Pelodiscus sinensis: one gene and its partner. The protein of the gene in region 1 interacts with the protein of each later gene in a biochemical or structural test. Links are inferred from orthologs where the notes say so. Each region holds a gene or a part of one and is shown on either strand. Other genes may lie near its edges.

Region 1 (11,065 bases):
GAAGGGGGCATCTTGGGGGAGGGGAGACCCAGGCCCAGCCCCTCTGTCCTGGCCAGGCCCAGATGCCCCAGTGTCCACCCAGCAGGACACAGACCCCTCTGCCCCCCCCCCCCCAAATCCCAGTGGATTGAGCGTGGGAACCCCCCCTCCCCCCCAGGAGGTGCCATGATGCCTGGGGCTGGATGGTGGATCTGCTGGGGCCTGTCAGCCAGCCAGGAGGGGCCCCTGCTGGAGCAGTAGGGCTGGATCAGTGGGGCTGGAGCAGCTGTGCCTTGGTGTGCTCAGCAGAGGGAGGCGTTAGTTCTGCTGGTGCCTCGCTGCGCCCCCAGAGGCCTTAACGCCCCCCTCCCCGGGTTGTTCCCTGCGTGGGGCCTGCACCCCAGCCCCCTTCCTCGTTTAGTTTCCAGCAGGAGTCGCGCACCCCCCCCCCTTGTTTGCTGTGTCATTGCGAATGGGCAAAGGCCAAAATAAAATGGGCTGAACCTGCTCCCTTATCTCCCTGTTGCAATGGGGGGTTCTGAGCGCCCCTCCCTGTGGCAGCCCCAGGCTGGGGGTTGGCTCTGCCCTCCCCCGCACTGCCTCCTGCACCAGAGCTGGCCTGAGGAGGGGGGCCTGGGCCAGCTTCACCCACATCTCGCTGCCCTCCCCTCCCTCCCAGTCCCCACCTCCCCTGCTGCCTGCCCCACAAGGGGCTGGCCCCCCAGCCTGAGGCTCCTGCACCCGCCCCGGAGAGAAGGGAGCAGGGACCGGTGGGCTGATCAGCTGCCTGATAAGGGGGCCCCTAGCCTAGTGACCTCCCCCCGGTGGCCTATAAGAGGGGCCGGGCGGGCCAGGCATCCTACCATCCCTCCCCGCACCCAGGAGCTCCTGGTCTCATCTGTCCCCAGGTGAGCAGAAGCCCTAACGCCGCTGCTGCCGCGGTTTGCTCTCGCACGGGGAGGGGGCACGTTTACACTAGGCCTTTGCACGAGCGTCAGGTGCCAAAACCCGATGGGGTGGCTCTCTCACTGGGGGGGGGACTGTTATGGGGGGGACTGCTATTACATCATTCTCCCCCCTCAGCGTGCAATTCCCTGGCAGTGGGGGGGGGGGGGGATGCCCTATTTCCTGGGGGGGATGGAAGCTCTATGCTGTGTGGGTCCCTTGGGCTGAATCGAGGGTGGGAATTTGCTCCCTGCCCTCCCCTGGATGCTGATGTTGGTGAGCAGTCGGGAGGGGGGGGGCTCTTTTCCAACTCAGGCAGCCCAGTGCCCTGGGGGAATGGCCCAATTGGTGCCTACCGGCCTCACTGGTTCCTTGGGGGGGGGTGCACCCTGCCACCCGGTTCAGTGCAGCTGCTTCTAACTGCATAGGAAAGGAGGGGCCTGTTTTGCTCCCAGAACCCATCTGTGTTGAGGGACCACCTCCCCGTGCCCAGCTCCGGGGGGGCCCCCTTTGGGCTCCAGAGGCTTGGGGGTTTGTCGGCGCCCTTGCTCCCAACCTGCAGCCACCTGCTCGCGCCAGGCTGGCGTCCCTGCCAGAACGGTCCCAGCTGCTCCGGTCACACTTCCTGTCTGCGGATCTCAGGGTGTGGTAGAGATGGGGAAACTGAGGCACAGAGCCCGGCAGGCCAAGGGCAGAGCTGGGAGCAAGACAGGGACCTCCGGCATCCCAATGCTGTGTCCTGTCCATTAGGCCACGCTGCCCCCCTACCGCTCTGCAGTGACCCCCGTTCCAGTCCCCCTCCTAGCCCAGCCCTGTGCAGCTGGGGCATGGCTGGCCATGCTGCCGTGCTCCAGAGGACAAAGATTGGTCCCCGCCCCCAGCTGTGGCAATAGCAGCAGATCCTGGGTGGCAGGGAGGGGCTCTGAATTCTTGTGTCTGTGACGTGTCCCCTTCAGCAGGGTCTGCGCTGCCCCCCGAAGGACCTGCCCGCCATGCACCCGTCACTTCTCTGTTTCTGCCTACTCCTGCTGGGCCCTGAGCTCGAGGGGCACTTGCTGCTCCCCACAACTCGCCCGGGAGGCGCCGCTGGGACCCTCAAGCCCCCAGGCCTGGCTGTCTCCCCCTTCCCCAGCGGCCAGCGGGCTGGGGCCAGGGCCTTGCTTGGCTCCCTCCCATTGCAGCTTCCCCAGCCGGGGCTCCCAAGGAGGGGTGTCTCCTGCCCCGACTTGCTGCCCGCAGCCCTGGAGGGTTTCTCCGAGCTCCCACCGCTGCCCTGGAGCCTCGCCAGCGCAGCCTTGGCCCTCTCCCTCCAAGGGGCCGGCTGCCCCCACCAGGCCGAGGCGCTGGTGCTGCAGCTCTACGAGGCGGTGGGGACGGACGATGCCAACGCTCTGCTCCTGGGGGTAGCGAGCCTGCCCGGAGCCCCCAAGCAGGGTGGGAGAGGCCGGGCCGCCTTGCTCTTCAATGTGGATCAGCTGGCAGGCGTGGACCCCCAGCGCTGCTCAGGGCTGGCTCGGCTCGACTCCCTGCTGCTGGGCCCGGTGGCCAGCACCCATGCCACCTTCCCCGCCGCCGCCGCCGCCTGCCGCCAGCTGGGGGCTGCCTGTGCCGGCGTGGCGCCCAATGGCACCGCTTTCTCCGTGATCGACCGGCACGGCGCCTACTCCCTGCCGGGCCGCGGGGCCCCAGCCTGGCTTCACCGCTGCAGCCGGGCCGGGAGGAGCCGGCGCGGGACCGTGGCAGCCTGCGGCAACGCACGGGAGCAGAAGGTCCACAGTGTGCTGCAGTGGGTGCCCGTGGTCAGCACGTACTACAACGTGGGCACCAGCATGTACTACGCCTTCCGGAACTGCACCGAGCTGGCCCAGGACCGGGGCCTCGAGGCCGCCATGGATCTGGGCTACGACGCCCTCTTGGGGCTGACGGGCGGGATGGGGAGCCCCATGGCCGTGGGGGCGGCCTTGGGGCTGAGGCCAGCATTCAAAGTGGGCGTGCGGTCTCTGATCAGCTACTTCCGGCAGGTGGCGCCGGCTGAACCCCTGCCCACGAGCTTCTCTGGCCCCTTCAGGGTAGCCACCTCCTTCCCACTGGGAACGCGGCGAGTGTGAATAAACCTGAGCACCCCCCGTGCTTTGATCCTAGTGCCGGTGTCTGTGATGGGGGCAGCTGGGGGGGGGGGCATGGAGGGGAGCTGCCTTATAGCCAGCCCAGCTTCAGGCCTAGCCAATTGCACCCTCCTACATGCAGCGAGGATGCTGGGTCTCAACCCAGTCCTGCTGGCCTGCTGTCTCAGCCACAGCAGGCATTGGGGCTGGAGTCTGGCCTCAGGGGAGGTGGGAAGGCCCTACCCCCACCATGTGCCTGCGAGCTCAGCATGGGCGCCTGTGCATGAAATTGACAAAGGGCTTATGACCTCTCGCCAGGGTTAGCCTGACCCAGACAGCCAGCTGCCAAGTGTCTATAAAGATCAGCAGGGCTCAAAGGTGCTGGCTGAGCAAATTTCCCCCAGTCACGTGGCCTGCCCGGCCCAGCCTCGTCCTGCCTAACGCAGTTTGTTACCAACCGGGAAAGCGTGGGCTAGTGGTCACAGCAGGGTACGAGGCCACCTGGGTTCTGGTCTTGACTTGGGTGCATTTATCAGTCCCCAGCCTTTTGACAAGTGCGTTGAGAGCCGAAGCTACACGGCAGGGGCCCTGGAGAGAGCGCCAGCTCCCTGCCCCTGTGAGCAAACCCTGGCCCCTGCAGTGTGCCCAGGACCAAGGTGCGGCGCCGCGTCGGGGAGCCCCCGACCCTGCACCCCTGTCTGCAGCCGGATGTGAGACTCAGCCAAGCTGCAGAACAGAAGGTTGATTTGCTTCCCAGAGATACAGGGCAGCGCAGGCTCGACATTGACACAGGAGCCAGGGCAGAGCCTCGTCCTCTCGGGGGAAAGGGGTTCACAGGCCCTGGATTTAGTCTGCTTCCTTCATGCTTCCCTCTGCCAAGCCTGCCCAAACCTCCAGCAACTCAGCCCCCCGGCAGCCGCACCCTTTGCTTTGTTTCAGGTTCCACTACCTAGCCCAGGTGTCAGGGTGCTGGGGGACGGGGACACCCACGCAGAGCGTGTACAGCACACCCCACTACTCACACCAGCGCAGTGCCTGGGCTCTGGGGCCAGCTGGCTAGGGTGGAAACATCTGCCCAGCTGCAATGACGGATTATTGGAGAGACCCATCCCCAGGCGGAGGAACCCAGCTGCTCCCCGGAGCCGCGTCACCCTCCCATGAGCAGCGTGGGCTGGGGCCTGGCCCAGAAGGGGGAGGAAGATTAGAGAACCGTGCAGCACCAGCCTGGGCAGAGAGGAGCCCCTGCAGCTCTGCATAGGGCCATGCGGGGCTGGGCCTGGCATCCCCCTTTGGCTGGGCTGCATCCTCGCATGTCCCTGGGGCGGGGGGGGGGACGACACTGCTGGTACTGCAGGAGCTGATTCATTGCCCAAAGACCATGCCTGCCCCTCCTCTGCAGGGCCAGGGAGAGCCCCGGGCAGGGACTACTAACCCCTGGCAGGGTGATGAGAGAAGGGGGATGTCCCTCAGCAGGGGGGCAGTGGAGGGGCTGGAGGCTCTAGGGGTTAGGGCTGGCACTGGGGGGCTCTGGGGACTGGATGCAGGGGGGCAGCGGAGGGGCCGGCACCGACGGGCTCTGGGGACACGATGCAGGGGGGCAGCGGAGGGGTCGGCACTGGGGGGCTCTGGGGACGCGATGCAGGGGGGCAGCGGAGGGGCCGGCACTGGGGGGCTCTGGGGACGGGATGCAGGGGGGCAGCGGAGGGGCCGGCACTGGGGGGGCTCTGGGGACGGGATGCAGGGGGGCAGCGGAGGGGCCAGCACGGGGGGGCTCTGGGGACGGGATGCAGGGGGGCAGCGGAGGGGCCGGCACGGGGGGGCTCTGGGGACGGGATGCAGGGGGGCAGCGGAGGGGCCGGCACCGGGGGGCTCTGGGGACGGGATGCAGGGGGCAGCGGAGGGGCCGGCACGGGGGGGCTCTGGGGACGCGATGCAGGGGGGCAGCGGAGGGGCCGGCACTGGGGGGCTCTGGGGACGCGATGCAGGGGGGCAGCGGAGGGGCCGGCACTGGGGGGCTCTGGGGACGCGATGCAGGGGGGCAGCGGAGGGGCCGGCACTGGGGGGCTCTGGGGACGCGATGCAGGGGGGCAGCGGAGGGGCCGGCACTGGGGGGCTCTGGGGACGCGATGCAGGGGGGCAGCGGAGGGGCTGGAACCGGGGGGCTCTGGGGACGCGATGCAGGGGGGCAGCGGAGGGGCCGGCACTGGGGGGCTCTGGGGACGCGATGCAGGGGGGCAGTGGAGGGGCCGGCACTGGGGGGCTTGGCTTGGGGTGTTGGATTGGCCCCCCCGCTGGGGCCTGGGCTCCCCAGTGGGGAGAGTGGGCGAAGCCGCCCCACTCTGCGGGCCCCGCCCCTCATTCACTCTCTTAGTATAGCTCCGCCCCCTTTCCGAGGCCCCGCCTCTTTCTCCCCTGTTACATCATTTCTGGGAATTCAGTAGGCTGGCTTCGGCCCCGGGCTCCGGTCTTCCGCTTAGCGCCTCCCCTCCCGCCGCCGCTGATGGAGGGAGGCGTGTCCTGCCCCGCCTCTCAGCCAACCGGCGTCGGGCAGGGGCGGGGTCTCCTCCCGGAGGAGGAAGAGCGGGTCGCTGCGCGGTGGGAGGGTCGCGCGGAGGCCGGCACGGCAGGCTTAGAACACCAGCGAGCCGGGCAGCCTCGGAGCCAGGTGAGGGGGGCGGGGCAGGCAATGGGATGGGGGCTACTAGGGGGCTGGGGGCTCTAGTGGTTAGAGCTGGCACTGGGGGCTCTGGGGCTGGGTGCAGGGGGCAGTGGGGGGGCTGGGGGCTCTAGGGGTTAGAGCTGGCACTGGGGGCTCTGGGGCTGGGTGCAGGGGGCAGTGGGGGGGCTGGGGGCTCTAGGGGTTAGAGCTGGCACTGGGGAATCTGGGGCTGGGTTCTCTAGTGGTTAGAGCTGGGGCTGGGTGCAGGGGGCAGTGGAGGGGCTGGGGGCTGTAGTGGTTAGAGCTGGCACTGGGGGCTCTGGGGCTGGGTGCAGGGGGCAGTGGGGGGGCTGGGGGCTCTAGTGGTTAGAGCTGGGGCTGGGTGCAGGGGGCAGTGGGGGGGCTGGGGGCTCTAGTGGTTAGAGCTGGGGCTGGGTGCAGGGGGCAGTGGGGGGGCTGGGGGCTCTAGTGGTTAGAGCTGGGGCTGGGTGCAGGGGGCAGTGGAGAGGCTGGGGGCTCAAGGGGTAAAGGCGGCACTGGGGGGTTCTGGGGACGGGGCTGGGGGCAGTGGAGGGGTGTCCGGGGGCTGCTGTCGCTGCCAGCTGATGAGTTGTTAAGGAGCAGTGTAAGCCCTTTTTACCTCCTCACAGTGCCCCCTTTATGTGGGGGGTGGGGCTGGTACTGGGGGTTCTGGATGGAGTGGGGCTGGTATTGGCGGTTCGGGGCTGGCTGTCATGGTGCCCTGCCCCCTGGGGCAGGAGTCTCCCGACCAGTGTTAGCCCCACCCCTCCCTCCATGAACCCTGTGGAGCAGGGGGCAGGGCTGTCATGGCGGGGGTGCAGCTCTGGGCAGTGGTTGGCACTTGCAGCCCCTTGGCAGGTAAGGCCCGGCCCAGGGAACGTGCTCTGTGGGGCAGACACCGCCCCTCTCTGCATGTGATGCAAGCTGCAGTTGACTTCCTGGCTTCCCCCTGGGGAGCCCGGTCAGGAGTCTGATCACCCGAGCCCCTGGGTGAGGCCAGAAACCGCCTGGCCTGGCCCTTTCTGCCCTCGGGTGCACCGAATCCCTCCTCAGCCTATCCTGAAGGGGTTAGCCCCAACCCCGCCGGAGCCGAGCCAGGAGGGAGGGCTGGGGACATGCAGAGGCGAGGACGTGGGTTGCACTCAGCCGTGGGTGACAGGCTTTGACGGCAGGGCACCTGGTGCCTCACCTGAGCCCTGGTCTAGCCAAGCCCTGGCACGCGCGCCCCCCCCCCCCATCTCCCTTCCCTCGGGGGTTGACAGGAGAGCAAATTGCTTTTGCAGCTGGGAGCAGGACTCGGGCCTGGGTGGGGGGGCATGTTTGGAAATGGCTTCACGCGCTGATGGTGTCAAGTGGCTGGGTGCCAGGGAGGGTGGCGCTGAAGTTCAAAGGCGGAACTAGGGGGTGTTCAATGTGTGGCGCTCAGCTTTGACTGCGCCCCACAGCCCCTGGGCTCCCCTCAGCTCTGCCAGTGCCCCTCGCTCCCAACGCCCAGCCTTGGGCCCCCCCTCGGCTCCCCCTTTTAGCTGAAGGGCCCCGGCTCCTCCCAAGGATTTGTGCAGTTCCTGCCCTTAAAGACCTTCCCCAGAGCGAGCGGCTCTGCAGAGGCCCCCGGAGCCCAGTGAGACGGGGTGAGGGCTTTGCAGGAACCGGAGGGCTCATTTCCTGGCACCCCCAAAGCAGCCCAGCTTTGCCCCCCAGCTTACGGCCCTCGTGCGGGGGCCCTGCGGCTTGGGGCCTGTGGTTTGTGTCTGCGGTTGAGTCTCCTCTCCTAGTTTCACATCCACAGGCTGCTGCTTTGTCCAGCTTGCAGACGCTCCCATGGAGGGATGCAGGCTTGGGGGGGGGGTCCAGCCGCTAGGCCCCTGTGGCCATAGCGGGCGGAGGCTGGAAACTGTCCTAAATGACCTAGGGAGGCATCTGTGCTCTGACAACTGCTGCTACATCTTTCCTCAGCTTTGATTTCCTGGTGGGTTCCCTTTATGCCGGGCTGGACTGGCAGGGGCTGTGGGGCAGGAGTGAGGGGCAGGGGCTGGGGGGGCAGAGGCTGTGGGGCAGGAGTGAGGGGCACTGGCAGGGCTGTGGGGCAGGAGTGAGGGGCACTGGCAAGGCTGTGGGGGCAGGGGCTGTGGGGCAGGAGTGAGGGGCGCTGGCAGGGGCTGTGGGGGGCAGGAGTGAGGGGCACCGGCAGGGCTGTGGGGCAGGAGTGGGGGGCAAGGGCTGTGGGGCAGGAGTGGGGGCACAGGCTGGGGGGGCAGGAGTGAGGGGCACTGGCAGGGCTGGGGGGAAGGAGTGAGGGGCACCGGCAGGGCTGTGGGGGGCAGGAGTGAGGGGCACTGGCAGGGCTGTGGGGGCAGGGGCTGGGGGGGAAGGAGTGAGGGGCACTGGCAGGGCTGGGGGGGCAGGGGCTGTGGGGGCAGGAGTGAGGGGCACTGGCAGGGCTGGGGGGGCAGGGGCTGTGGGGGCAGGAGTGAGGGGCACTGGCAGGGCTGGGGGGCAGGAGTGAGGGGCACTGGCAGGGCTGGGGGGCAGGAGTGAGGGGCACTGGCAGGGTGGGGGGGGCAGGAGTGAGGGGCACCGGCAGGGTGGGGGGGGCAGGAGTGAGGGGCACCGGCAGGGTGGGGGGGGGCAGGAGTGAGGGGCGGGGGCAGGAGTGAGGGGCACTGGCAGGGCTGTGGGGGCAGGGGCTGGGGGGGAAGGAGTGAGGGGCACTGGCAGGGCTGGGGGGGCAGGAGTGAGGGGCACTGGCAGGGCTGGGGGGCAGGAGTGAGGGGCACTGGCAGGGCTGAGGGAGCCAAGGGCTGGATTCTTACCCAAAAGAAAGCCAGTTGCTAGCATGAGCTATGAATGCTGGGGGGGGGCACAGGCAATGGGGGTCCTCCAGTGCCATTCAGCAGCCCCTCTCCACACAGCCTGGGGCAGCTGCCCCGTGTGGAGTGACCCTGCTCTGTGCTGCTGAGGCCCTGGGGGAGCCGGGTTCGAGGCAGCGGCAGCGGCTGTTTCCCTTCCCAGCGGTGGCTGCAGAGCTGGGACCGACCCATCCCCGAACGCAGGCTCCTTGTGCCCCAGGAGGGGGAGGCTGCTGTCCCAGCCCCTGGCCCCCACTCACCTGCTGCCTGGGTTTGCTCCGCAGAGGGGGGCTGGCACGGCCCCCAGCATGGCTCAGTGGCAGGAGGTGCAGCAGCTGGAGAAGGCCTACCTGGATCAGGTGCACCAGCTGTACTCGGACGACCACCTGCCCATGGAGGTGCGGCAGTACCTGGCGCCCTGGCTCGAAGACCAGAACTGGTAACGGCCAGCGAGGGAAGGGTTAATGGGGGGGGCAGAGTCAGCAGCTGGGACCCACGGCAAGCGCTGGGGACGTCTCAGATTGAACCGGGGGTGGTCTGGTGTGGGGGAGGGGAGTGACACCCCCACAGGCAGCCCTGCGGGAAGGGGGAGCAGGAGAAGAGATGCGACCCTCAGGCACCTCTGCTGGCATGCCCCGGGGGTCCCCGCTGGAGGGGGACGGGCAGGAAAGGGACAGTGCAGCCCCAGGGGTCCCCGCTGGAGGGGGACGGCAGGAAAGGGACGGTGCAGCCCCGGGGGTCCCTGCTGGAGGGGGACGGCAGGAAAGGGACGGTGCAGCCCCAGGGGTCCCCGCTGGAGGGGGACGGCAGGAAAGGGACGGTGCAGCCCCAGGGGTCCCTGCTGGAGGGGGAGGGGCAGGAAAGGGACAGTGCAGCCCCAGGGGTCCCCGCTGGAGGGGGAGGGGCAGGAAAGGGACAGTGCAGCCCCAGGGGTCCCTGCTGGAGGGGGAGGGGCAGGAAAGGGACAGTGCAGCCCCGGGGGTCCCCGCTGGAGGGGGACGGCAGGAAAGGGACGGTGCAGCCCCGGGGGTCCCTGCTGGAGGGGGACGGCAGGAAAGGGACGGTGCAGCCCCAGGGGTCCCCGCTGGAGGGGGACGGCAGGAAAGGGACGGTGCAGCCCCAGGGGTCCCTGCTGGAGGGGGAGGGGCAGGAAAGGGACAGTGCAGCCCCAGGGGTCCCCGCTGGAGGGGGACGGCAGGAAAGGGACAGTGCAGCCCCGGGGGTCCCTGCTGGAGGGGGACGGCAGGAAAGGGACAGTGCAGCCCCGGGGGTCCCTGCTGGAGGGGGAGGGGCAGGAAAGGGACGGTGCAGCCCCGGGGGTCCCTGCTGGAGGGGGACGGCAGGAAAGGGACGGTGCAGCCCCCGGGATCCCCGCTGGAGGGGGAGGGGCAGGAAAGGGACAGTGCAGCCCCGGGGGTCCCTGCTGGAGGGGGACGGCAGGAAAGGGACGGTGCAGCCCCGGGGGTCCCCGCTGGAGGGGGATGGGCAGGAAAGGGACAGTGCAGCCCCGGGGGTCCCTGCTGGAGGGGGAGGGGCAGGAAAGGGACAGTGCAGCCCCGGGGGTCCCCGCTGGAGGAGTGGGGTGCAGCCCGGGCTCTCCCGGCAGCGCGGGGCGGTCTGGGGGCGGGGACCCTGCAGTGCGCCCTTGTCTCTGCCCCAGGAGCCAGGCAGCCGAGCTCCCTGTGTCCGAGTCCCACTCCTCCCAGGCCCACATGCTGTTCCACACCCTTCTGGCCATGCTGGACGACCAGTACAGCCGCTTCGGCACCCGCCAGGAGGACTTCGTGCTCAAACACAACCTGCGCAAGTCCAAGCTCAACCTGCAGGTGGGGGCCGGGCTGCTGGGGGGAGAGGAGGTGGGTGGGGTCCAGGGGGGTGGGGCAGGGTGTCTGTGCCCCCCCCCCCCCCCCCCGATCCCAACGCCTCTGGCTTCCTTCCAGGCCAAGTACCAGGAGCGCCCGGAGGAGCTGGCCAACGTCATCGCCAACCTGCTGCTGGAGGAGAAGGCCATTCTGAGCAGGGGCCATGCAGCCCAGCAGGCAAGGCAGGGCAGGGGCCGATCCCTGGGCTCATAGTGCCCCCCCCAGCAGCACAGTGCCTCCCCCACTCCCTGCCAGACCAGAGCCCCCCAGTCTGCCTCCCTCCCTCCCTGAGTAGTGACCCCCTCAGCCTGGCTTCCCGCCGCGCCCCCTAGTGCTGTATTGGGGAGAGCCCCCTTTCCTGGGTAGCCGGCCCACCCCCCTGGCTCCGGCTGGGGGGCTCAGGGGCCCGTCTCTTGTGCGTCCCCTGCAGGCGACAGCTCCGCCACCGTCCAGCGCCCCCATGGAGACAGACCGGCAGCAGAAGATTTCAGGGCGCCTGGCGGAGACCCGGGCAGCGGTGCAGGTGGGTATGGCCTGGAGCTCGCCCGGTGCCCTCCCCAGACCACCCCACGCTGGCAGGAGAGGGACAGGGGAGCCTGGGCTGCACCCCTCTCCTCCAGCGGGGATACCTGGGGCTGCACTGCC
Region 2 (11,478 bases), on another chromosome or scaffold:
ACTGGTGCTTTACAGAGCTGTAACTTAATAGACTTTGGGTGTTTTTTCACACCCTTGAGCAAGAAAGTTACAGCGCAGTAAATTGCCACTGTGGACAAGCCATTATGGTGTGAAGTTGAGCATATATGTCAGTGATGGGCAACCTAAGCTATTGAACAGGCCACTTTGCCCCTCTTCATCTCATATTGTCGCAACCAAGACAGTCTCCTTGTAGCACTGGAATGGAATTTTATAACTAATAAGTCAGTTATAATAAAAGGTATGTTTTAGCAAAAGGATTGTATTAAACTTAAATTCAAGATGTAGGCGTCACAGAGGGCCAGGCAGCTTTGTTATCTTAGCTTCATCTTTGTTTGATGTTAGCATGTTAAAGTAAAGGGATGGAATATTGTAATATATAGTGATGTTAGTGTTAGTAAGGCCTTGTAGTAGATAGAAAGAAGTTTAATGTTGAAAGACTTTGTAACTTTTAACAAAGTTATTTAGTAGTACCTCTTTGTTCCATGCTGCAATTCTGTAAGGCTACGTCTACACTGGCCCCTTTTCCGAAAGGGGAATGCTAATTTTACAGGTCGTAATAGGGAAATCCGTGGGGGATTTAAATATCCCCCGCGGCATTTAAATAAAAATGTCCGCCGCTTTTTTCCGGCTTTTAGAAAAGCCGGAAAAGAGCATCTACACTGGCCCCGATCCTCCGGAAAAAAGTAGGAATAAGAGATCCTCCGGAAAAGGGCTTTTTTCCGGAGGATCGGGGCCAGTGTAGATGCTCTTTTCCGGCTTTTCTAAAAGCCGGAAAAAAGCGGCGGACATTTTTATTTAAATGCCGCGGGGGATATTTAAATCCCCCACAGATTTCCCTATTACGACCTGTAAAATTAGCATGCCCCTTTCGGAAAAGGGGCCAGTGTAGACGTAGCCTTAAATGTATTGTTTGCGTGAATGAGAGAGAGAATGTTTGAGGAGAGAGAAGCGTACAGGCCTCTGCCTGCTCAAATGGTCAGAGGTGCTTCGGAAGGACTCTGAAGGACTCTGAAGCACCAAATAATTATCAACTAAGTAAACAACTCAAAAGACACAGACTACCCAGGCAGACTGATGAGCGCTGAAGCTAGAGGCAAGCACCACTTGATAGGGAACCAATCATAACTTTTGCCAGAAAGACAACACCCAGGAGGGGTTGTCAGCTTACTGATACCAGATGACTGTGACAACTTCTTATCAATAAGCACATGTCCTAGGAAGACTGATTGTGAAGCTGAATGACTGACTAAGGCCTGATAAGGCAAAATGCATAGACTTGCATGGAAGGAAAGTCCTATAAAGGATTGGGTATCTGATTCTTCTGGTTCTATCCTGCTAAGATCAAGATGAGGAGGGGCATCAGTCCGTACTGACATGAACCCGGCTCCTATCTGGTCAATAGATTGGGCCGAGCAACATACTGGTAACTATTCATCTGCAGGATGAGTGTATGTGTGAGTAAATGCATATGCTACTTTGTTATATTGTCAATAAATGCGGCGTGTTGCCTTATCACCCTGAAAAATATTCCATATGCTTCTTATAAGCATAACATCCTGGGATGGAGTAGTTTTGCTAACTTCGCTTGCATACTTTGAATTTGCAAGGTGTACTGACTAAATCATAGCAGTTCTTTGTTTGAATGCAGGAGTAGGGATGTAAGCGACTAATCGACTATCCGATAAACGCAATGATGCTCACAGCACATGCCGAGGGCCACAACTACTAAGCAAACGCTTATTGGATAGCCAACACACTAGTTGACTAGTCACTTCCTGCCCCCTTTGCTGCCTTTACCACAAAGCCTAGCCTCCATGCGGGTGATTCTGATTTGAAACGTACAAGAGCCCCCGATTCTTGTACAAGTTCTTATTGACTAATAGAATAGTTGATGGAAAGTTAACATCCCAATGCAGGAGTGCACAGCTTTTACAGTCATGTTGTATGCAATCAGCATACACCTCACTTCATGTGTCATGTCACTTTTATAATACCAGTACAAAAAAATGACAGATTGAAACCAGTAGAATCTAGCAACTTTGCTCATGTCTTGGGGCCTCACATAGAACCCCAATGAGCCACATATGGTTCTCGGGCCATAGGTTGCCTACCACTGATATATGTCATTGTTCGCAGCAGTGCAAGCTAGCTGGCTATCCAAGAGAATCAGTAGTGCTGTCAAATGCAGAGCTAAATAGAAAAAAAATGCTGACTGACTTTTTACTTAGTAATCTTTGGGAGTAACTTGTAAGTGGAGTTTTATGCCACCTACAGACAGACGTGTCATTTTAAAGATGACAATATCCTTTTGACTTCAAAGGAACTGCCACTTCTCACTCCATTTGTACACATAAAATGTTCCCAAGCCATACTCCCCTGAGTTCACCTCAAATAAATCCTTAATTTCCATGACAAGCATTCCCCTCTTGCACACTCACACACCATTTGGTTATTTCACATGAAATCATTTCAGTCAGATTAACATATCAGGGAAAAGAAACTTCAGATAATCACAAGAAACTATTTTCTCATCTAAAGTTACCTTATGTTTGAGGATCAGACTGAAAATAGTTGTAAAGATTATTGCATCTACTCATATGACTACAGAGTTTTTCTTTGTTGTTATTTTTTTTTAAAAGGGAACCTAAGTGCCTCTCTGTGGAGGAGTCTGCATAGCCTGATGCTTGTGTTACAACTTGCTCAGTAGTTACAGTTATTGCAGTGCTTGGATCTGTAATGTGGTTTTGTAGAAGTTGCAAAACAAATGGGCTTGTTTTAACTGATTACAGCTTACAGTAAAATAAGAAAGTGGTTAAGTCTCCCTCTGCTGTGTTCTGATTTCCCTTGGATTTAAAAAATGAACTGACTCACAACACTCTCTACGCCAGGGCTACTCAATTCCAGAAACCCCAGGGGCCACAATAATACTCACAGCGCATGCGGAGGGCCACAACTAAGTGTGGTTGCAGATACTTGCAAATATATATGCAAATAGCTTCCTTCACATTGATGGGCATGAATACAAAGATTAATGCAAGACTACACAACATGCAGACCCCATTTAAGTCAGTTCTGCCTATATTAATAAAATGAAATATTTACCCGATTTCTATGCATATGACAGCACTTTTAATGAGCAATGACAGTCCAGAAATTTAACTGCTAAAATGCATATCAAAAGAAGATCATCATATTAATTCACCGTTGTGGAGCATGCTCCCATTGGAAGCCATGTTCAAAAGGTCCCACCCATGGGTCACTTGTTGAGCCTCACATAAACCCAAACTACACCGTGGGCCACAAATGGCTGTGGGCCGCATATATGCTAATATAGTAACAGCACTGCCCTGAGCACATTAGTCACAGTCGATGTAATTAGGACCAACACAGTGTCAGTGTAGACATAGCAATCTATAGAAGCACTCTCACTGAAGATCTGCATCCACAGACACTGACTCTTCAATGTGCCAGAGGATGCTCAATCCCCAGCTGTGTCCAAGACTTCATCGTCCTGTCCCTGCTCCACGTTTTCCTACTCTGTTCTATCCCCTCCCACCAGCACACTGTCTATTTACCCTTTCCTCCCGCCTCTCATGCACACCATGAAACAGCTGATTGCGGCAGGTGCAAAAGGCTGGCGGGTGAGGGAGAAGGTGCCAGTGGGTGCTCAGCACATAGGACAGACTGGGGCAACTGCCCCATGCTTTGTGGGGTGTGGGTTCTAAGACAGCCTAGGGAGTTAGTGGAAAGCCTAGTGCCAGCAGCAGCAAGAGACCTGTCCCCAGCTTGTCTCATTCCATTCCACCCTGACAGTTCTTGACTAGGGATTGAACATCCCTACTCCTGGCATTGCTCTGGGGACCAAAACTGGAGAGAGAGGGCAGGGGCTTCGGAGAAGGGATGGAGTGTGGACAAAGAGGAGGCAGAGGGGACAGGGGCACACTGTCCCAGGCCCCGCACTCCCTAGGGATGGCACTGCTCAGCACCCACCAGTTATTCCCCGGGGTGCCCCAGAGGAGTCAGCGCCTAGCCCCTACACAAGGCGCCCAGGCGGCACACAAGCGACGGAACGTGGGCAGTGGCTGTGCTGATCAATCCCATACTGTGGGCAGGGCCGATTCAGCTTCCACATCCCACGAAGGCCGCTCTAATGCTGAGCGCCGGGGGGGGGGGGGGTTACTGGGGTCTAAGCGCCCCCCTCTAACCGCTAACTGGGCCGAGCCCCGGCTGGATCCAGCTTCAGGCGGACACCGCGCAGCCGGGCCCTGTCCCCCCTCCCCTTCCCCGCCGCTCTGGGGGCGGCGCTGGCTGGCGGGCCGGGTCGCGGCACACACAGGCCCCGCTCAACAGGCGGCGGCGACTCCAGGGCTGGACCCGCAGCCCCGCACGGCGGGCACAGAGCGGCCGGGGCAGGCCCCGCGCCCCCGGAAGGGCCCCTGCCCGCCCCCCGGCCACGCCGCCGCGCTTACTTGCGCCGAGGGCAGCTGTCACCAGCAGCAGCAGCAGCGGCGGCGCCCACAGATCTGCTGGCGGCGCCATCCTCCCGCGGGGGCTCTGGCGTCCGGGGCGCTGCTGTCACCGGCTGCGCGTCTCAGCGCCGGGCCCGGCTCACGGGATAACAGACTTCAACGGAAAACAGCCTCGCGGCACCCGCCCCGCCCCCGGGGCCGCAGCGCGCATGCGCTTCCCGGCTTCGGAGAAACCGCTTGTCTTCCCAGAAACCCGCGAGGAGCGAGAGCGAGAGCGAGCGGGGGCGGCGTGGGGAGTGACGTCTCGTCTAGGGACCGCTGCTGCGTTCTCCCCTGAGTTTGTGTTTGTGGTTCCTGCCCACGGGCAGCGTGACAACGGGCGTGGTGGGGCCCGTTTCTGGGACTGCACGGAACTCAGCGCAGTGCCCTGTCCTCAGTCTGCGCTGGGACCAGCTCCCAGTAACATGGGGGTAGATAGATTGGCCGAGATCGCGAGCACGAGGTGTTTTATTGCAAGCCCCGCTCAGTAGTTACTGTAAGCGCATAAATTAGTTTTTTGGGGGGAAGGAGGAAAAGCTGCTCCTTCCATTTCCTTGCACCTTGGGTCTTGCTAAATTCATGGTTATGAATAATGCATCATGAACAGTGAAACCTGGTCCCCTCTCCCCTTGAATCTGGCCTTTTTCCTGCCTTTATAGCATTTCTCAAAATGGGGGAACCTGGCCCAAAAGGGAGTTGGGGGAGAGAAGGGTGGAATTATACTTACTGCTGCACTGCACTCCTTCAGAGCTGGGTAGCCAGCAAGCAGTACATAGCTTGCTAGCAGAAGCGAAGAAATAAGGGGCTTGTACGTGCCAGGTTGTGATACCTCCTTTTTGGGTTAGGACCCCTACAATTAAAATACCATGACATTTCAGATTTAAATAGCTGAAATCATGAAATTTGCAATTTTTAAAATCCTATGACTGTGCAATGGACCAAAATGACTGTGAATTTGGTAAGAGCCTAATTATTCTGGGGCTAGTGCCAGCAAAAAGATGCTCCTTGTCCTAAAGAACTTAATGTGTCTCTTAACTGATACTATTTTACTGCATTGGATTGTGTTTTAGTTAAGAAGAGATTTGCAATGCACCTAATTTATTTTAAAAAATATGTTAATGTTTTTAACAGAGAATGAGGATGCTGAATTGTGTTGAGAAATGTTTCCCTCCTATTGGATGTGTCAGAATGCCTCTGCTGCGTGCCCCCTCCGGGCCTGACTCCCCCCTCCCACAGAGAAAGGAAAGTCCCATCACCCGCCTCTGGGGACTTACCCAGTAAGTTCCCAGAATGCCAGGGAGCTAGGGCAAGGAAGCAGCCAGCACATTTCCCAAACCTCCGAAAGTGATGCACAGCTGTAGGACTTCTGTCTGCCCCGCGGGAAGCTGCCACTACCTCCATTGTTGTTCGAGGTATGTAGTGGGGCTTCTTGGGGATGGGGGGAAATGGGAGGCCCAGAACGCCTTGTGATCAACTGGTTGAGGCCTCGGGATCGACCAGTCGATCGCGATTGACTGGTTGGTGAACACGGCACTAAGGCTATGTCTACGCTGCAGGCTTCTTGCGCAAGAACTTTTTGCAGAAGAGATCTTCTGCAAAAAGTTCTTGCACAAGAGCGTGTCCACACTGCCATGCGCTTTTGCACAAGAAAGCGTCCACACTGCCATGGCCGCCCTTGTGCAAGAAAGCTCTGATGGCCATTCGCAGAATGGCTATCAGAGCACCTGTGCTTTTTCCAATAGGGGTTTCTTGCACAAGCAAGTAGGGTTTGGTGTGTGACTATCACTACCTGTACAGAGACAGCAAGGCCAGGAAGGCAATGCTGGTGTTTTTAGGGATTTGATGCACACAGGCACAGACAGGAATTCCGCACACTACAGGCAGGTAGATAGTGGTGAGATGCCTCATAATCCTGACAGGGCTGTCCCTTTCTGTGCTGGTGCCGTACACAGCCAAGTACCACCTCTGCAGTAGGAACGGCCACTCCATGGGGATGGGGAACTGCAGGGGCAGATGGTGTGCGGGACAGGGTTGTCAACTCTCCTACATCAGATGGACTCGATGCTATTTGCTGAAATGGCATCTGGTCCATCCAGTCTGAGGGAGTTAGCAATCTGGCACAGGACAGAGAAGCTCACCTGTGCCTCAGTGCAACAAGTGGCAGCATGAGTGGTAAGTGGTGCAGAGCTGGAGAGCAGAAGGCAGTTGTGCTGCTGGCTGGAGAGAAGCAGCACTTTGAAGGGGAAATCACTACTTTCCTCCTGCCTTTGGCTGCACTTCTGCTCCCAGCTCCTTCGGTGTAGGTGTCCTGGTGTCCTTCAGACCATTCTTGCACCACTCACTGCCACCTGGTGAGCAATGGCTGGGCACAGAGTCTGCGGAGGGGGGCACGGTGGTGGCCGGGAGATGGGGGTGGGAGTTGCCAAAATCAGTGCTAAATCCATGGGGGAGGATAGAGGATGGTGTTGGGAGTTGTCAGAGCTGGCACTGAGCCCACTGTGGGACGGGGAGCTGGCCAGAAGAAGGGCTGTTGTGGCTGTTGCTGAGCCCGTGGGAGTGGGTGCTGGCAAGGAGATGGGGATGAGGGCTGCCTGAACACTGGCACTGAGCCCACGGGGGGAGAGGGAGAGGGAGGGGGAGGGAGGTATGGACAGAGGACTGTCTCTAGGCATACACAGCTTGCTGCATATACCTAAGGACGGTCTTGAATCCTGTGTACCCCTGGGGAAAGTCACAGCATGTTGTGAATTGCCTCACCACAAGTCCATTCACTATATCCTCCACACTGCTGAGCGTCAGAGTCCTGCACAACAGGAAATGATTAATGGCCTTGGATGCTTGCAAACCCACAGGAAGTGCTGCAGTTATACTTTTTGAATCTGCAACAAAAGCTTCAGCGGGGTAGCCGAGTTAGTCTGTAACTGGAAAAACTTAAAAAACAACAAATAGTCTTGCAGCACCTTAAAGACTAACAAAACATGTAGATGGGATCATGAGTTTTTGTGGGCACAACCCACTTCTTCAGATGAATGGAATTATTAAAGATCCAGTTTCTAAATAAATATGGGATGAAGGGGGAGAGAGAAGGAAAAAAAGGGGAAAGGAATAGTCAATGACAGTGTCCATGCTACATAAAGCTGATAGAAAAGGTGCAAATTGTTCTTAAGTACCCATTGTTTGTTTTTTATGTCATTAGGTTGTGGAATGTAGTGGGCCATCCAGCCAATGTCTTTATTCATACCTCTGTGATAGGAATCAAACTTGTAAATTAAGTTATGTTCTAAGGCAGTGGTCCCCAATGCCATGCCCGCAGGCGCCATGGCGAGTGACCAGGGCCGGCCCAAGCCATTCTTGCAGCCCGGGTGCACGGCGCATACATGGTGCTGCGCCTGGGCATGTGGCGCATGAGAGGCCCCGCCCCCCAAGCGCGCGGCTCATGCGCGGCCCCGGGCGCCGGGTGCCCGGCAGCCCCAAAAGATTGGGAACCACTGTTCTAAGGCTTTCCTATGTAATTGGCTTGTGGAATTGGTCTGAAACAATAGGGTGACTTTGAGACCCATTAATGAGTGTCTGGGGAAGTTAAAATGTTCCCCAACAGTTTCTGTGAGTTGCCTTTTTGGATATCTGATTTGTGTTTATTAATTATCTGCAACATCATAAGAACAGTGCAGAGCTTGGTGTGCTCCATGCTTCTGTCAAAGAAAGACATTGAAAGGTGCTGAATGGGTTTGTGGGATTTAAAAAACCAAATAAAATAGTGATGGTATTATGGGATGGTAGAGATTGCATGCTGGGAACTAAACTCCTAGCTCCCAGAGATCCCCATGTGTCAGTTCCATCCTGCAATACTCAGTGAAAATTTCCTAAAAAGCATCACACCAAATGGCAGATGAGATACCTACCTATGGTGCCCTGAAGACACAAGCACTCCTGTTGAGTATCTGCCACGCTAATGCAAGCAATGATACACAGACTGGTGTATTTACACCAATGTAAGTGGCATTGACCAGTTTGTAGTATAGTGGCATTAGAAGCAGAGGGTAAATAAAGGTTGGGAGACCTAAAACTAGAAAAGATGACCCAAACTATAAAAGCCTTTTATTATCTGCGAAGTTTAATAAACTACTGGGAAGGACAAGCAGGAGTCAAAGAGCCAATCCTATATAGATGGGTCTGAGGCTAGATGATGATGTTTGTCTTTATAATTCACTTCATTCTTAGATCCAGTCTTGCGCAAAAACAGCAGTTGCAACCACTTCTAACTGGCAAGGCTCTTTTGAAGCTCTCAAGCCAGCGTATTCCAGACCATAAATATACAATCACCATTTTCTATTTTTCTAGTAACATTTTCTATTATGGTAGCAATCAGCAGGGCTCGACAAACTATACAATCTTCTTGCCTGTGGTGAGTAGATTTCAGCTGCGTGCCCCGTTCATTCGCGGCGCGCGCATGTGCAAAGTGGCTCTTGCGCATGAGCAGTACGCGACTGGCAAGCGGTTTTTGCCACCGTTTGTCAAGCCCTGGCAATCAGGATAGGAGCCTTGTTATGCTGGGTGTTACATTAACGCAGAAAAGAGAAATCTGCCCTGAAAGCCTTACAAGTTGATGACACGAAGGGTACGTCTACACTACAGCGCTAGTTCGAACTAACTTAGTTCGAATTAGTTAATTCGAACTAAGCTAATTCGAACTAACGCGTCTAGAACTAAAAACTAGTTCGAATTAGCGTTTTGCTAATTCGAACTAGCAAGTCCACATTGAGTGGACTCTGAACAGGGCTTAAGGATGGCCGGAAGCAGTGCCGGCAGGGCATAAGAGGAGGACTTAGAGCGTGGAGATGCTGTCTCAGGCTAGCCGAGGGCTGCGCTTAAAGGGTCCCGACCCCCACCCCGGACACACAGTTCTAAGGGGTGCCCCGCTTGCAAAGAAGTTCTGGCTTGGAGTGCCCGGAGTACCCACACTGGGCACATCACACCACTCGGCCATCAGCCCGGCTGCACTTGCCGCAGGCTGCCATCTGGGGAGAGGGGGCAATTGGGGGGCTGCAGGAGAGCTTCCACCCCCAGAAGCCCGCAGAGCCAGCCCAGTCCTCCCCATCGGGGGCTCGTACCCCATTCCTCCCTCACCTCCTTCCACTTACCCTTCCCTAGCCCCCCTTCTTATTGATGTACAAAATAAAGATAACGTTTCTTCCAACATTGACTCTGTCTTTATTGAACAAAACTGGGGGAGACCGGGAAAAGGAGGTGGGAGAGGGGAAGAGAAAGGCTGGGAGAAGGGAGGGCAACTAACATGATCAGGGGTTGGGAACAGGTCCCAGATGAAGAAAGGCTACAGAGACTGGGACTGTTCAGCTTAGAAAAGAGGAGACGGAGGGGGGACAGGATAGAGGTCTCTAAAAGCAGGGGTTGGGTGGAGAGGGTGCATTCAGAAAAATTTCTTCCTGAGTTCCCATAAAGAAGGACTAGAGGACACCAAAGGAAAGGAATGGGTAGCAGGCTTGAAACTAGTAAGAGAAAGTTGTTCTTCTTCCCAAAGCAAATAGTTAACCTGCGGAACTCCTTGCTGCAGGAGGCTGTGAAGGCTACAACTAGAACAGAGTTTAAAGGGAAGTGAGATCAAGTCATGGAGGTTGAGTCCATGGAGTGGTCTTAGCCAGGGGGTAGGAGTGCTGTCCCTGCCCAAAGTTTGTGGAAGGCTGGAGAGGGATGGCACGAGACAAATGGCTTGGTCACTGTCTTCGGTCCATCCCCTCCAGGGTCCCTAGGGTTGGCCGCTGTCAGCAGACAGGCTACTGGGCTAGATGGACCTTTGGTCTGACCCAGGACGGCCATTGTAAGCTCAGGGCTCAGGGTCGGGGGTCTCAGTGGACCCCCTTGATTTTCATGCACACCTGCTCCTGGGTGGCCAGGCTGGCAGCTCTCCTGCCCTAGCCGGCCACTTTCCTGTGCCTAGTGCGGAGATCGTGGACAAGGTCCACGATGTCCGCAGTAGCCCAGGAAGGTGCTTGCCTCTTGCGGTCCAGGGCAAGCTCCCAGGAGCCGCCAGCCTGGTCCCGGGAAGAGGGGGTGGGCTGGGGGACATCGGGTGGGTGGCTCTGTGCTGTGCCAGGTGCAGGGTCTGCTGGTGGGTGCTGGCAGGCTTGCACCTGGCACGGGCACCGTAGCCAGCCCATGCCCCTTTAAGGGGTCCGGGGCCGGGAGGGGGGCATAGAGTTTCCCTGGTGTTGGCCAGAGTGGCCACCAGGGAAACCTGGGGAGGGCTAGCCTCCCACTAGTTCGAATTAAGGGGCTACACACCCCTTAATTCGAACTAGCTAGTTCGAACTAGGCTTAATCCTCGTAAAATGAGGTTTACCTAGTTCGAACTAAGCGCTCCGCTAGTTCGATTCAAATTCGAACTAGCGGAGCGCTAGTGTAGCGCCTATTAAAGTTAGTTCGAACTAACTTTGTAGTGTGGACATACCCGAAGGGTTTATCAGCATGTAAAAGACGTGCCACTTCAACTATACTGATATAATGTGTGCAATTATACCCGCATAAAAGGGTTATGCAGATATGGTTTTGTCTTATATGGGAAGGGAAGGTGTGTCTAGACTACAGGGTGGCCTTTTTTCGAAAAAACTTCCCCTGCATCTACAGTGCTGCCATGTTCTTTCAAAAGTAAATTGAAAGAACGCAGCAGTTTTTTTGACAGAGAAAAACCTCGTTTTACGAGGAAGAACGCCTTTTTTCGCAAGTGCTCTTTTGAAAAAAGGTGCTATGTAATGCAATGTAATGTTATGTTACTTTTCAGTCTCTCCATGCTACCTGGGTGGCCGAAAGGGGCAAAATCTTGGCAGATTCTTCTGGCAGCAAAGGGCTAGTACAGTGCCCTTCTGGTTCCCCTTCTTGCATCTCCTATTTTAGGAGCTTGTAAAGAACAGGAAGATATGTGACCAGCATACTT

Evidence for each region.
Region 2: the proteins of STAT2 (region 1) and IFNAR1 form a complex in vitro, tested with the Homo sapiens proteins (2 studies listed by BioGRID). The link is inferred for Pelodiscus sinensis from reciprocal best matches to the Homo sapiens genes STAT2 and IFNAR1.

Annotation. Positions count from the first base shown.
Region 1 is NC_134729.1:3,802,908-3,813,972, forward strand, and holds the start of STAT2 (signal transducer and activator of transcription 2), read left to right. Parts: upstream 1-6,355; 5' UTR 6,356-6,483; coding exon 6,484-6,567; intron 6,568-8,842; coding exon 8,843-8,997; intron 8,998-10,218; coding exon 10,219-10,384; intron 10,385-10,498; coding exon 10,499-10,597; intron 10,598-10,850; coding exon 10,851-10,943; intron 10,944-11,065. Other genes in the region: APOF (apolipoprotein F), read left to right, coding at 1,917-3,032. UniProt on the Homo sapiens protein: Signal transducer and activator of transcription that mediates signaling by type I interferons (IFN-alpha and IFN-beta).
Region 2 is NC_134711.1:183,374,680-183,386,157, reverse strand, and holds the start of IFNAR1 (interferon alpha/beta receptor 1), read right to left. Parts: upstream 4,633-11,478; 5' UTR 4,561-4,632; coding exon 4,491-4,560; intron 1-4,490. UniProt on the Homo sapiens protein: Together with IFNAR2, forms the heterodimeric receptor for type I interferons (including interferons alpha, beta, epsilon, omega and kappa).